Linked DNA regions of Drosophila melanogaster. The protein of the gene in region 3 interacts with the protein of the main gene of each other region in a biochemical or structural test. Each region holds a gene or a part of one and is shown on either strand. Other genes may lie near its edges.

Region 1 (4,630 bases), on a different chromosome or scaffold from region 3:
TAGCGGGCCCACCTTGGATTGCCATGCCAGGCTGTAGGGATTCGTCTGACCAAGTTCCTGCATCACCATGTGTACGCTAGCACCAATCTCCGAGGGATACGCGTCACCCCGGTTCACAGCCTTAAGGGGAAGGGAGTGGGCAGTGAAGAGGATGACCACATCATTTCGTTTCGTTTCCACAAATTTGGCCAGCTCGTCGCGAATTCGCTGGGCAAACGTTTTGATTAGAAGTGGATGAGTGCCCCACCTGTCGATAATGCTCCATTTGATATCCGAGGGCAGATTACTAAAGAGGTAGAGGGGATCAAATAAATAGCTGCAATTGTGCATTTCTAACTCACTTGCTCCGATAATGAGTAAATATGGAGTTAAAGCTGGATCCGGAGGTGGCGCAGCTGTACTGTGGATATTGTGAAAAGAGTACAACGCGCTCTGGTTTGTCCCTGTAAATATGTTAAAATATTAACATGTATTCTTTAAGTAGCGCAAATGACCATAATTTCCAGGTTTAGGTTTCAGTAATTTGTCCAAGAAGTCAACTGATAATAGCAGGACATTGAAACATGCATAAGAAGTCAGAAGTCTATACAAACTTATTTACTAGAACATATCTTATTGTGAGAGTCCGTAGCAATATATATAGGTCAATTTCACGACCTTCGGATTATTTACATCACTCTTGTTCTACTTCTCGACTACACTCACTTTTCGATCTCGGCCAGCGTGTTCTCAGTGAGGGGATTCACGTAGCGGAAACCGACGTAGTGCTTGTGAGGTGCTGTCTCCGGGGAGATTCTGTCCAACTGCTCGCACATGAGCTGGCCCTGCAGCTCGGTCCACTTAAGAATCGGTGAACCACCGCCGATCTCCTTGTACTTCTTCTGTACCTCGGGCGTCCTGCGCTGGGCGATCCACGGACCAAGACGGCTCTGCACCGGCAGCTGGATCATGTCCCGGTCGGTCATAATACGCAGGAGGTAGTCATGCACCTGGTCCGTGTGGGTCGGACCGCCCATGTTCAGCATTAGGATCGCGGTCTTCGGTTTTTGGCCGCTCAGGTTGCGCACTCCTCCTGCCAGACCACCTGTTGGGGAATATGTAGGAATGTCGTGGGAACTGTATCCACTCGTATACTCACTTGCCAGTCTGCAAAACTTTGTGTTATGCAAAAACATAGTTCCTTTTAAATTGACCCAAATTGATGGCACCGGTGTCGAATAGTGTTACCAGTTGCTAAAATAGTTTAAATACCAAAATGTATGATCTCACAGATTCTAGAGTTTTTCCAAACGTAACAGAGTTCTGTAAAAAGTAACCGTCACGCCATCTATGTGTGTAAAATAGCTGCCAACTATTACTCAACAGTAATCTAAATATTTAAAAATTTTTCCTTTTGTTACACATTTACCATTTAATTTCTCTTTATTGAAACCGAAACCAATATTTGGTATATACTGTTCTTCAAGCGACCAACAGAAATTTTTCGCGCATGCGTCCTTATTTCTTTCCCTTGTCATCAACGCTGCGTGCAACGGTAAAAGCTGACTGTGGTGCAGTCTCGCTCTTGCACGCTGCATTTCGCTCTCGTCGCTTGCTGCGAGTGTTTCGTTTCCTCCGATCAAATAATATTTTGTAGTTTTTCCACCGAATGCAGGCACAATTGCTTCGTAAAAACGCAATAAAAGGCGCGGCCCATGGTCCGAAAAGATAAGAAAGCTTGAAAAACAACCGAAAGTGTCGTTTAACATCGGAGAAAAGCAAAAGGACAAGCGGCGCAGCACAGTGAAAAAAACGTAGGAAGTTTTGGAGTGAGTGAGAGGGAAGGAGTTCCACCGCGGTGGTGGGTGTACGTGCGCGAGTATTGGTGATGTGTCCATGTCCGTGTTATCGCCACCAGCATTAAAGTGCTCCAATTCGTGGCGCACGCGCAGAATAACTAGCGCTCTCTTGCTCTCTTTCTCGACTTAGAAGAGGAACAGGATATTTTATTATACTGAAATTCCTACTCAGGAAATTCGCATAGTTGCGAAAGCTTCGCGCTGCCACACGGACGCATTCCGCTACGGGTTCCCCGCACCACCCACACACTCTCACACCCGCCTGCCGCGAGCCCACACACCGCGCCCGCAAGCACTCTCGCGCACAGATCAATGAAAAGGCCAAAAAATAAATTGCACCTTTTCCGGGAACCAAAAACATGTTGAAATTATCTCACAAGTTACGCAAAAAATGCCGCAGCAAAAAAGTTGCATGGGATGCCGTGAATGCGACGAAAGTGTGAAACGAAACGAAAGGCAACGAAAGACGGTGCAGAAAGGAGCAAAGAGAGGCTGCAAGGATGTACTGCTTCTCAAAATCCCAAGCCATTGACCACCGAATCAGCGATAAGTCTCTAACAACAAAAACCTGCACCTAGCCAATTGCATTTTGCATTCGCATTCTTACTGCCCCGGAAGTAAAAGCAGCTTCAGCGGAAATTAAAACCAATCAAAGCCGAAATAAAAGGTAACGCTAGCGAGCGAAAGAGATAGACATTTTTAGAGAAAAAGAGAGAGCAAGAGAGAGCTACCATAGAGAGCAAGTGCATCCTTTTCACAACGCGGCACACATTTACGACCGGTGACTGCAACTAGCCCACTCCCATACCTCCGCCCCTCTTCAACCCGACCCCAGTTGTCCCTTGCAATTTGTGATCTCACGTTTTCATAACTTGGGCAGTAGCCGTTGGCACGGATTAGACGCAAAACGTCAAGCATTAGGACGTCAGGAGAAACGCAGTTCCACAGTGCAGGTGAGTTTTCAACAAAGGGACCTATCCAGGAAACTCACTGGCGGCTATGCATTTAGTTAATTAAAAAACTATTTGAAGGGTGAAAAGTCCATCATAGGAAATGACCTTGTCGCTATCAAATTCGGCTGTGCTTGATAAGGCTCCCACAACTCGAATAAGCGATCATTTGTGGCAAGTGTGATTATGCGCAATTTTCTGTTAAAACAAATCCTGTTTCCAGAACTTCTAATGCTTTGTTGGTTAGCGTTATTTTGCCTTTTACTAAAAACCTTTTGAAAGAAAAGGAAACGTCTTCTGATAGGCTATCATCATTCATTGTAGTCATTGGAGGTGGAGGTTCCAATTTAATCGTAAGAAAACATGGCATATCGTCAAATCAATTCGAGCAAATGTAATATAAGCGGTGTCTATTCCAGCAGCAAATTATTTCAAGATCTCCTCTATTACACACAAGAGATGAAGATCTAGGATATATACGACTAGGTGAGAGGAACAGAAAGCAAAACATTTACCGCGACATTAACAATCAAAAATCTTGTTTGGACGCTTTTTATGCTCAAAGCCCCCATAACTTTTTACACCCCGAATCGCCCCTTCAGTCCGCCAAACTACCCCCAAGCTAAAAGCTTTGCTCCAATTTACCAGCAAACAGAGAACTTTGTGTGGAGCCCCATACCATACAAATAATTTAAAAAAGCTGAGCCGCACAACTATCTTAATTTTATGTTAGAACTAAAGCCCCTTGTATAAAAAAAATGATAGCAAGCCTCTTACGGTAGCCAAAAATGGATTTCCATAGAGACCATTAAAATCGCTTGGTACTTTTTGTTGTATTAATTTACGTTGTTATTTATTAACTTATTTTAAGGCAGTATTGTTCACATATAGAAAATCTTTAAACAGAAAGTTATTTTTAAAATTGCATATTATTTTGTTTGGTCCTTATGTGTGTGGTATAAGCCGAGCTGTAATACAACATGTGGATGGCGACTTCCATTCTGTGCAGCCATAATTCCATCTTTTTGATTCTGCCCTCACTAATTAGATAAATTCACAGTTTCCCCGCAACTTTGCTAGTTTTTATGGTTTCGAGCATATTTTTGGCATTTTAATGCGACTTCTATCCGTCGTCCAAATGGCGAGTTGGGAGCTCCAAATTCGGAGTTGCGAGTTTCTAGTTGCGGGTTGCTGGTGGCATGTTGCACAGTCGTCAGGTGAGTCAGCTGAGCACCGGCAGAAAGGACCACATGGCGCGAAGCGACTGCACTGAAAATTGGGGTTTTACCATGCAGATAATGGGATCCGATCTGAAAAGTAAATGATCGTAATATCGGTTGTCAAGAGCTGCGAGTCAGTTGTGGGGCCTTTTCGCGTTACAATTATAAGCTGAGCCGATAAATATAACTTCTAAAAGAAAGAGTATCCTTTTTTTGCCTCAGTGGGTGTGCAGTCGCATGAGCGTGCGGCAAAGCCCAGTGGGTGTGGGTGGGATGGTGGGTTTGCGGGTTAGGGTCCGACGGTCCCCAGTGGTGGGTCTGTGTTTCTTCTTTCGATGTATATTCCTTTGTCGGGTGCTACTAACCAGTCAAAGTGTGGAAAAGGGACTCATGGGGATGTGGCGTTGTGGATAAACTTCAACGCAGCAATAACCATACCAAACCAAATAATGCCATGATGGGGTTACAACTGAGCCCAAAGAGGGAAATCGATAAATCTGCCTGTCGTCATTGTAGCACTGCCTCAAGTAAAAATAATTTTAAAGTTTAAAATTCATATCGATATCTTATTAAATTCGGTTTTCACTATTTATGACAATTTCGTAATATTTGGATTCTGATG
Region 2 (4,645 bases), 6.6 Mb from region 3:
ACTGGGGCTCTGTGATTTGTCCTGCTCCTCGTGACCATTTGGCGTTTCTTCGTAGCGAACGTAGGGTTCGAAGCTGTTGTTGATTTGCACAGATCCGCGATGCAGATTGTTGGACTCGGCCTCGAAGAGAATCTCGTTGATGAAACGTTCGGCCAGAAGACGCTGCTCGCGCGGCAGTCGCTTCAGTTTGTGCGTCCAGGTGCGGGCGATGGACTCCTCCTCCGGATATGTGCCAGCCAAATACTCGCAGGCTATGTTGAGTAGTTCGTCGGTGTTGTGGGCGGTGCCTGTTGCCCCAGGACCGCCAGTAGATCCGGCTCCTGCTCCCGTACATGGCGGCGTTTGCCTGGCTCGCTTGCTGCTCCCATAATCCACATGGTTGGTTGCTGGCGGTGGCGGTGGCGGAGCTCCAAATGATTTGTGAAACATCTCGGAAATGTTGGGCGTCTGACCACCAGCGCGTGGTGCTGGATAATGGAGGGCTGCTCCCTGGCTCTCCAGAAACGCACTCGGGCAATTGCTGCTCTCACCGAAGGCGAAGTTGGGCTCGTTCTTAAAGGCGGGATTGACGGCTAGAAACTTCTCCGAGTTGCGCAGAAAGTCCAGCTCCTGAAAGGTCCAGCAGCGTGGACTGTGGAGGCTGCCCGATCGCAGGGCACTCTCCACCACCTTCAGCTCCTTGCGGTAGTTCGTGCGCAGTGTGTTGATCTTCTTTTTCACATCCTCCACGGTGGCGTCCCGCTTGAGATAATGGTATATGGGCACCAGGCGCAAATAGGCCTCCGCCCGCTTCTCCCGATTGGTGTAGTCCCGCAGCGATGTGTCCCACAGCACGGGCAGATCCCTGTATGTCTGGATGAAGGCGCGCAGATAGTGTCGGTTCTCCTCCGCTCCCGACATCACCTTCAATCCGTGCGGCGGCGTTTGTGGCAGCATTTTGCGCGGATCTCTGGATTACCCTCTGCCAATCCACGCCAGCTGCAGTCCTTGGCTATCTTCACCACTTCAGCGAATCCTGGATGGACCTATTGACCAACTGTCAATGCGAACGAACTGTGTTTGTTGTAATTGCGCGTTTGACAGATTGTTTGCCATATTGACGTAATGGTTGTGTGCGAGTGTGCGTGAGCGTGAAGATACAGCAACAAGTGCGGACGTAGTGGCAATGCTTGTCACTGGTATCGATACTTCGCCAGCAGTATTTATCGGTCAACTCGTTGTTATCAAGCGCGTATATTTAAACAAAGTAGCACAAAAGCAAGTAGTTTTAGGCATTCATTTATTAAATATATGAGCAAGCATACATAAAATTAACTGTAGCTTATATAGCTTGCATGAAAAATATGATTGGAGGCTACAACTGCAACAATAGTAGGATATTACCAAATTTAATTTATCGACAGGCCAAAAACAACTTAAACGAAGAAAACAGTTCTAATTGATTGTTAATATAGTGCAGCTTACAACTATTTTATAGCCATAGTCGTTTAATTTAGTTATATAGCATTACAGGGAATACCTTCAACCCCTTGCAAGTGTGACCATTATTTAGCGCCGATTGATTCTGGTATTTCGTTCATCACATTTGCGCGTATTTCTTGGCGCCCCCGCGACGGTTACACTGCGCGGCACACTACAGCGAAAAAAATTCGAAACAGACGCGTTTGTCCGTTGAGTTTTGATTTGTGATTCCGACGCGCAGCCGTTGAGCGCAATTCGCTTACATTGTTGATCATTTTGTTGGTTAAATTGCTAAAGCAGGTACGCGGTATCGCTAACAAGAGGACGAAGAACCGGGCGACGCTGCCTATGCGCGTCTGTGTGTGTGTGTTTTCGTGAGCCGCCGCTTTTTAATTAAATAATAAATAAATTGTAACAAAAAGTAGAAAAACAAACAAACATGGAAATGATGCGCGCTAAATGCATGAAAACAGCGTCCAGTTAATGAAAGTAAACGAATCGAGTACAAACGAATTATTTGTCTCCTTGTGCGTTCGTTCTATTGTGTTTCGAGTTCTGTTGGTGTGTGTTTTTGTGTATGTTCCACGAGTTGTTCGCCTTAAAAAAGTAACTGCAGAAGATCCATGGAAATGGAGACCATTGAAGAGCAATCGAAGTGCGGTGAGTACTGAAAGAGGGCGCGGGGCGTGGCAGCTCCAAATGGCCGGCGAATTTATCATTTTTCAATGTCGCCCAAAGGGGTTGGGTACGGGGTAAAACCACATTCGGGGCCAAAAGATCCTCATAAAAAATGTCGCTGCCAGCAAATGCAAAAAAATAAAATGAAATAACAACGACTATAAGTACATCTTTGTGTGTATTTGTGTGACTAAAAAAGCAACGGCATCGTGTCGCAGATATTTTAATCTTTTTTTCTGAATTTATTTCGGTGTAGAAAATATTTATCGCATAAATGCGAAATGCCTCCCTCTCTTCATCATCGTTTCCCCTCACTCTCCCTCTCTTCGGCGACACTGTACCGACAGCAAGAACAACAACAACAACTGAGGCGCCCTAACTGTTGTGAGAGTAAAAAGAAAGGACAAGCAACAACAATTTAAGCGATCAGTTCCTGTTATCATTGATGCGAATTCAGCCGTTTTTAGCCATGGAGTTGTAGCTATAAAAGAAAGTAAACAAGAAACTATCGAATCTTAAAAAAGTAAACAATTAACAAAAGATAGATTTAGGTATTGATGGGAAAGAGAAATCTCTGCTATAAAGTTTTTATTATATTTTTAACATTTTTATTTAACTAAAAACAAAATTGTTTCTAGGCAATTAAAATTGTTATACTTTCCATAAGCCTACGATTTCCGCAACGAGAACGTGTAACTGCAAATACCACACAATTTCAAAGGTTATTGCCTTAAAAAATACGTGTAAATATGTTGTACGGCAGGAATTTTTCCAGCGCGCGGCATAAACAAATAAAATTATCATTTAATGTATTTTGTGTCCGAATTTGAGGCGCAAATAAAGCATATATCAATTAAAAGTTTATAATTTGGTTAGGTTATAAAATCAATTCTCCTTTGATGTTATTTAGCCTTTAAATGTGCATATGTATGTAGATACTTTTGAAATCAACTCTACATGATATCTTTGTGTACTTATTCTGTCTGCTCCGCTCTAATACTTGCCGCCAGGTAAGAAGAAGAATTTATCCTGCTCGACAGGCTCTTCGCTCCTTCTACTTCCTCCTCTTGTTGCACAGAATCCTTGATCCTTGCTTTCCGGGTGGTTTACCTACCCCGCTGGCCGATTACCTCGTATTCCATTTACACATGTTGACAGGGCGCACATGCCCATACAACTATGACTATATAGCCTGTAGTCCGTGTTTTCCGTCCCTCAATGCTAATGGCATTTTACATGGCCCGCAGACCTTCGGAATCTGCTCTTCGCCTACGTCAAGGCTTCCGCGGGATACGTACGTAATTTTATTACAAGATTTTTCTTTGATGACTCTGCTCTGCTATTTGACAAAATCCGCTACACAGCGAGAAATTGGTTGATTTTATGTATAATTTAAACTTGCAGGTAAACTGAGGTTTTTTTTTCTAGAGATTTAAAGTAATTTTCTAAATATTATTCCAAAATTACAAAACGTCTTTCGTTTAAAACACAATTTTTTTACATAAAATATTTTATTTTTGGATTTCATTGTCACTTAAAAATGCTTTTAGGTCTAGGTCAAAAGCAATAGACACGAGAATTTAAGTAAAAATCAAAAATTGTCATTTTGGGTTAACTATGATTTCGCATAGGACATTTTTCGCTGCGTGGCTGAATGCCCAGAAACCCACACACACAGCCCTCTTCTTCCGATGGCTTTTCATTTCTCAGATGCCACTCAATTAGTTTTTCATCGTTTCCCTGGCAGGCAGCCAGCGAGGAAAAGTAGAAAATAAATAACAACAGCGGATTTTGTTCGGGCAAAAAGGAAGGAAATTCCCGAATGGCGAAAAATGGTGGCCGCCACCTGTGAGTCTCGGCACTTTCTCACACTCGGAAATTTTGCTTACCATTTTGCGTTTACCTTTTCTCCTGACCTCACTTACATACCTTCTTCTTCTTGTTTGAACCGAAGAAGCTACCACCTGTGGCCATGCAAAATGCGATTTCAGGTGTTCCCTCAGCCTGAGCTCGTCTTGCATTTAGTTATGTTTTAGAGCCCGATCCTTGAGGATCTGCGAACAAAATGTTACACTTACCGCTGGTGCAGTTCAACTTTGGCAACCATTTGGGCAAAAAGAGCAACAAAGTGGTCACGGTTCAGCGACAATCCGCCTCCTATTTCACATATGCCGCCGACGAGGAGGTCAAACAGGCGAAGCTTCGACAGGCCGCCTTGTGTCAGGTGTACGAGGATTTTACAGGTATTTCAAGATTCCCAGATAAACCCCTTCAGGTACTCGTTTCCAAGGGTTGAATATGCGCAAAAGCAAGAGCAACATATTCGCCAGAGGGAAACTTAAGTAGGGTAAAGTCTTTCGTGAATCATCCATCCATTCAGCCAGACCATCGACAAACACCTGGGAAAGGTGCAGGAACAGTAAAAATAACTATGTATTTCATAAATAAATATATTACTTTCCGAGGAAAGCATTCGATGTCATGTTAAGGTGATATTGATTTAAAT
Region 3 (4,322 bases):
TGCTTTTATTCTATTTACTTCTATATATTTATATTTTATTTTCATGCTAACCATAAATACTTCTTTCTCGGTGTAGAACCAGAAGTGAGGAGCTCCGGGAATCGGTTATTTTGTTTCAAGCTGATTTAGATTATTTTCGGTTCTCGACTTTCGCCGAGATAAGCAAAATAATTCGTTCTTCGGCGTTGATAAGTCTGTCTCCGTTGTGGGTACAGTGAGCACTCGAGCGAGGGCCAATGTCGGCCATTGACGAATGGAGTTTGATAAACAATCAAGAATATTTGAATGCGTGAGCTATGTAAGTAAGTATATGTGCTGGTGCTGCGAAGATCTTGGAGAAGAAAAGAGCACTCAGATATCTTTTCGATGAGTGATTCGACTTAGCTAAAACTAGTTTTACGCTCTTTCCCACTCATAGTTCCCTAATATGCGCAGATCGTTTTCTAGTATTCACTACATATGATATGTCAGAAGAATATAAGAAACATATCACAATAAATAAACCAAAACTCCTTTTATTATGCTTTATTGATTTCCATTGAAATAGACACATTTATATAATTATCTTGGCTTCGTTCATGTTTTTTGTTTTTCTTTTGTTTCTTGAATATCTGTCGTTTAAAATACAAAGTATTCAAAGTTGCTCAGTTTGATGCCTTTAATTCAGTACATAGTATACGAAGGACTTTTCATCTTATACATACATGTATATATATTGATAGTTCCTGGATCTAGCAAAAGTTTAAAAAGTTGTTACTCGCCCGCGCCGTCGCTTCGATATCCAACAACATCTAAATACAAGTATGTAATAATGTAAGTGTAATTGCAATGGAACGTTTACTTTACTGACTCAATATCCTGATCCCTTCCGCAGGACCTTCGATCAACATCTATGCGACATCTATGCTTTATGCTCATTATGCGGCTATTCTCGTACTTGTCTCACATTTTTTTTAGGTTTTTCGTTTGTTTTTTTTTTTTTGTTTTGTTTTGTTTTTGGTTTTACCTCAGTTTTACAACATTAATTTTAATTACAAAAGTTATTAAATAATACAAAATACAGTTAGAGTTTACAGTTCTCCATTTCGTCTAGAAACATCTCGCTTTTAACTTTTAGTTGAAATTAATGCACGAATAAACAGAATAATTGGATTATGAATTACAGAACACTCGAAACAAACTCAGAACTCGGAAACGAAACAAAAGCAAGAGTTGGGTTGGGTTGGGTTGGGGGAATCCCCCCCTAGCAGCGGAAATTAGTGGCAAAATTGTAACAAAGAAACTACGGATGAGCCATTTAGCCTGGCCACGCTTAGGTTACATAATGGTTTTATAGTTAATAATATTACGTTTAAGCAGAGTCCGTCGGTGGAACACCACCGACCAACTGTCTAACTCTTTTAGAGCAGGGCGCACTTGCGCTTGGACTTGGGCTGCAGCACGGGGCACAAAACCGACCGGATGGCCTCGTCGAAAACGGTTTTCAGACCCTTCTGCGTCAGGGCCGAGCACTCCAGATACTTGACCGCTCCGATTTCCTTGGCCATGGCCAGGCCCTGCGGATAGGTGATGGGCGCCAGTTTCTTGTCCCTCAGCTTTTCGATTGTGTTCTTGTCGTCGCGCAAATCCAGCTTGGTGCCCACCAGGATGATGGGCGTGCTGGGGCAGTGGTGGCGCACCTCCGGATACCACTTGGCCCGCACGTTCTCGAACGATGCCGGATTCACCAGCGAGAAGCAGATGAGGAAGACATCGGTCTGGGGATAAGACAGTGGCCTCAGTCGGTCGTAGTCCTCCTGCCCGGCCGTATCCCACAGGCCCAGGTTGATGGGCTTGGCGTCCACCATCACGTTGGCCGAGTAGTTGTCGAACACGGTGGGTATGTACTCGCCGGGAAAGGCATTGGTCGTGTAGCTGATCAGCAGGCAGGTCTTTCCCACGGCTCCGTCGCCCACGACGACGCACTTGATCGCCTGCATGGTTCGATTTCCTCGACTTTCTGGACTGGAGTGCTATGTGCCTAGAGATTGGAGATTGAAGATTGCAGATTTCTGATTGCGGGGGTGCTTCTTCTTCAGGCGTTTTTGGTTCTTTTTGGGGCGGCGGCGGAGGACTGTTGCTTGCGTGGGTCCTTTTGCGGGGTTATCTCTGGAAGCGCGACTCCTTTTCCAGTGCCTTGTGGTCCTCGGGGCGACTGATGATCGCGCCTTACGTTCTGGGCCTCTTTAACTCGCGTTTTGTGCGTTAATTTCCCTAATTTTCTCAACAAAAAAAGTAAATTTTCTGTGTACTGCAGTGTGACCGCGGCTGGACTGTTCAAATTTACCATGGGAAAGCTGTAAAATACTAAAACAAATTAAAACTGCATTGAAATGGTCACCCTAAGATTTGTAAATTATTTCAAGGCTTCGTCCTTAAAGCAAACATAAAACCCTTAAGTTTCGCATTTACTTATAATTAAATCCGAATTACAAAATATATAATTTCATTGTCTTCCTGTTTATGTCAGTGATTTGAAGTGAGAACAAGCTGTTTTTAGTAGGGCTGGGCCCCAGAAGTGCAGCTTCTGGGCTTTGGCTGCACCTGGTCACACTTCTGGCAGCAAATAATACAATTTCGAAAATTAGAATTTATTTGCTGCTCAATAGCCAAGTCAATAACACCTGTTCCTTGCCCATCCAGAATGTCTGACGTGTTCATCGTGTCCGCCGCCCGCACGCCCATTGGTAAAACCAAGATAAATCGGCTGCACCATACACGATAACCACATTCTAATTGGAAACTTTCTCTTCGTGTTTGTCCAATCTGAAAAATCAACAGGTAGCTTCAATGGAACGCTTTCTAAACTGAAGGCCTCCGACCTGGGCAGCGTGGTCATCCAGGAGGTACTCCGGCGGGCGAATGTGGAGGGCCAGGAGGTCAACGAAGTCATCTTGGGCCAGGTGGGACCCATATCATAACTGTTTCTCCTCCTATCTTACCGATCTATTTGTTATGTAAATATCTTTGTTAGGCTCTAAGCGCCGGTCAGGGTCAGAATCCAGCACGTCAGGCTTCACTCAAGGCGGGTCTGCCCATTCAGGTGCCAGCCTACGGCATAAACATGCTATGTGGTTCCGGCTTAAAGTGAGTTTGTCCCGTACAATTCCGTACATTTACAATGGTTTTTACCATTTCCAGAACTGTAGCGCTGGGTTACCAGGCCATCCGCTCGGGAGACGCACAGATTGTTGTGGCAGGAGGTCAGGAGAGCATGTCCCTGGCTCCACACGTCATGCATCTGCGGCAGGGCGTCAAAATGGGTCCGGGCACTATGGTGGACTCGATGATCCACGACGGCCTAACCGATGCCATGGAGAACATACACATGGGCATCACTGCCGAGAATCTGGCCGATAAGTATAACATCAGTCGTGAGGCCCAGGATGCCTATGCCGTGCTGTCGCAAAATCGAGCCGAGGAGGCCCAAAAAAAGGGTTACTTCGACAAGGAGATTGTGCCCGTGGAGATCAAGGATCGCAAGGGTACGACCACATTCAGCAAGGATGAGTACATCAAGGCGGGCAGCACCGTCGAGGGTATACAGAAGCTCAGGGCAGCCTTCAAAGAGGTGGGTCTAAGATAAATACAAGAAGAGCGAGAGTTAACCCACTTTCTCTTGCTTATGTAGGGCGGCTCTATAACCGCTGGCAATGCCTCAGGCGTCAACGACTCCGCTGCTGCCGTACTACTGATGTCCGGCGAGGAGGTGGCCAGGAAGGGTCTTAAGCCGCTGGCTAGGATTGTGGGCTGGACTCAGAGTGGCATTGAGCCAAAGGTGATGGGACTGGGACCAGTCACAGCTGTGGAAGCATTGGTAGTTACACGGAAATTCCACTTCTATACATGCTCCTAAGTTTTCACATTTTTCAGCTTCAAAAGATTAACTGGAAGCGTGAGGAAGTGGATCTTTACGAGCTGAACGAAGCATTCGCCGCCCAATCACTGGCTGTCCTGCAGGACCTGCAGCTGGATGCTCAGAAAGTAAATGTCAATGGCGGTGCCATTGCCCTGGGCCACCCGATTGGAGCTTCAGGTGCCCGTGTCTTGGTCACTTTGCTCTATGCGCTGGAGCGCACCGGTGGAAGAAAGGGAATCGCATCGCTCTGCATCGGTGGCGGCATGGGAATCGCCCTGGCCGTGGAGCGCCTCAGCTAGTCTTAATTCATTGTCATTCAAGCTATTTATTGCCTTTTCCTGTTTCCCACTTAAGTGTAAAGTTTATTTCTCTATTCGCGTAGTATTCGCACGTACTTAAAGGCACAACCTCCCAAGTCGCAAAA

Evidence for each region.
Region 1: of the proteins of Rac1 (region 3) and RhoGAP100F, one has a biochemical effect on the other in vitro, tested with the Drosophila melanogaster proteins (one study listed by BioGRID).
Region 2: of the proteins of Rac1 (region 3) and pbl, one has a biochemical effect on the other in vitro, tested with the Drosophila melanogaster proteins (one study listed by BioGRID).

What each region holds. Positions count from the first base shown.
Region 1 is NT_033777.3:31,811,036-31,815,665, forward strand, and holds the start of RhoGAP100F (Rho GTPase activating protein at 100F), read left to right. Parts: upstream 1-1,573; 5' UTR 1,574-2,791; intron 2,792-4,630. Other genes in the region: FeCH (ferrochelatase), read right to left, coding at 1-286, 342-443, 706-1,084, 1,139-1,175. UniProt on the Drosophila melanogaster protein: GTPase activator for the Rho-type GTPases by converting them to an inactive GDP-bound state. Promotes the anchoring of Liprin-alpha clusters at synapses. Recruits and keeps Nrx-1 levels high in active zones in the presynapse opposite the postsynaptic region.
Region 2 is NT_037436.4:7,908,898-7,913,542, reverse strand, and holds the start of pbl (pebble), read left to right. Parts: upstream 1-1,588; 5' UTR 1,589-2,084; coding exon 2,085-2,121; intron 2,122-4,204; coding exon of another isoform or gene 4,205-4,382; intron 4,383-4,645. Other genes in the region: CG8281 (uncharacterized protein), read right to left, coding at 1-936.
Region 3 is NT_037436.4:1,300,368-1,304,689, forward strand, and holds Rac1 (Rac1), read right to left. Parts: upstream 2,317-4,322; 5' UTR 1,980-2,316; coding exon 1,401-1,979; 3' UTR 512-1,400; downstream 1-511. Other genes in the region: Acat2 (Acetyl-CoA acetyltransferase 2), read left to right, coding at 2,684-2,726, 2,821-2,942, 3,014-3,126, 3,181-3,610, 3,671-3,856, 3,913-4,197. UniProt on the Drosophila melanogaster protein: During various developmental processes, regulates changes in cell morphology in response to extracellular signals.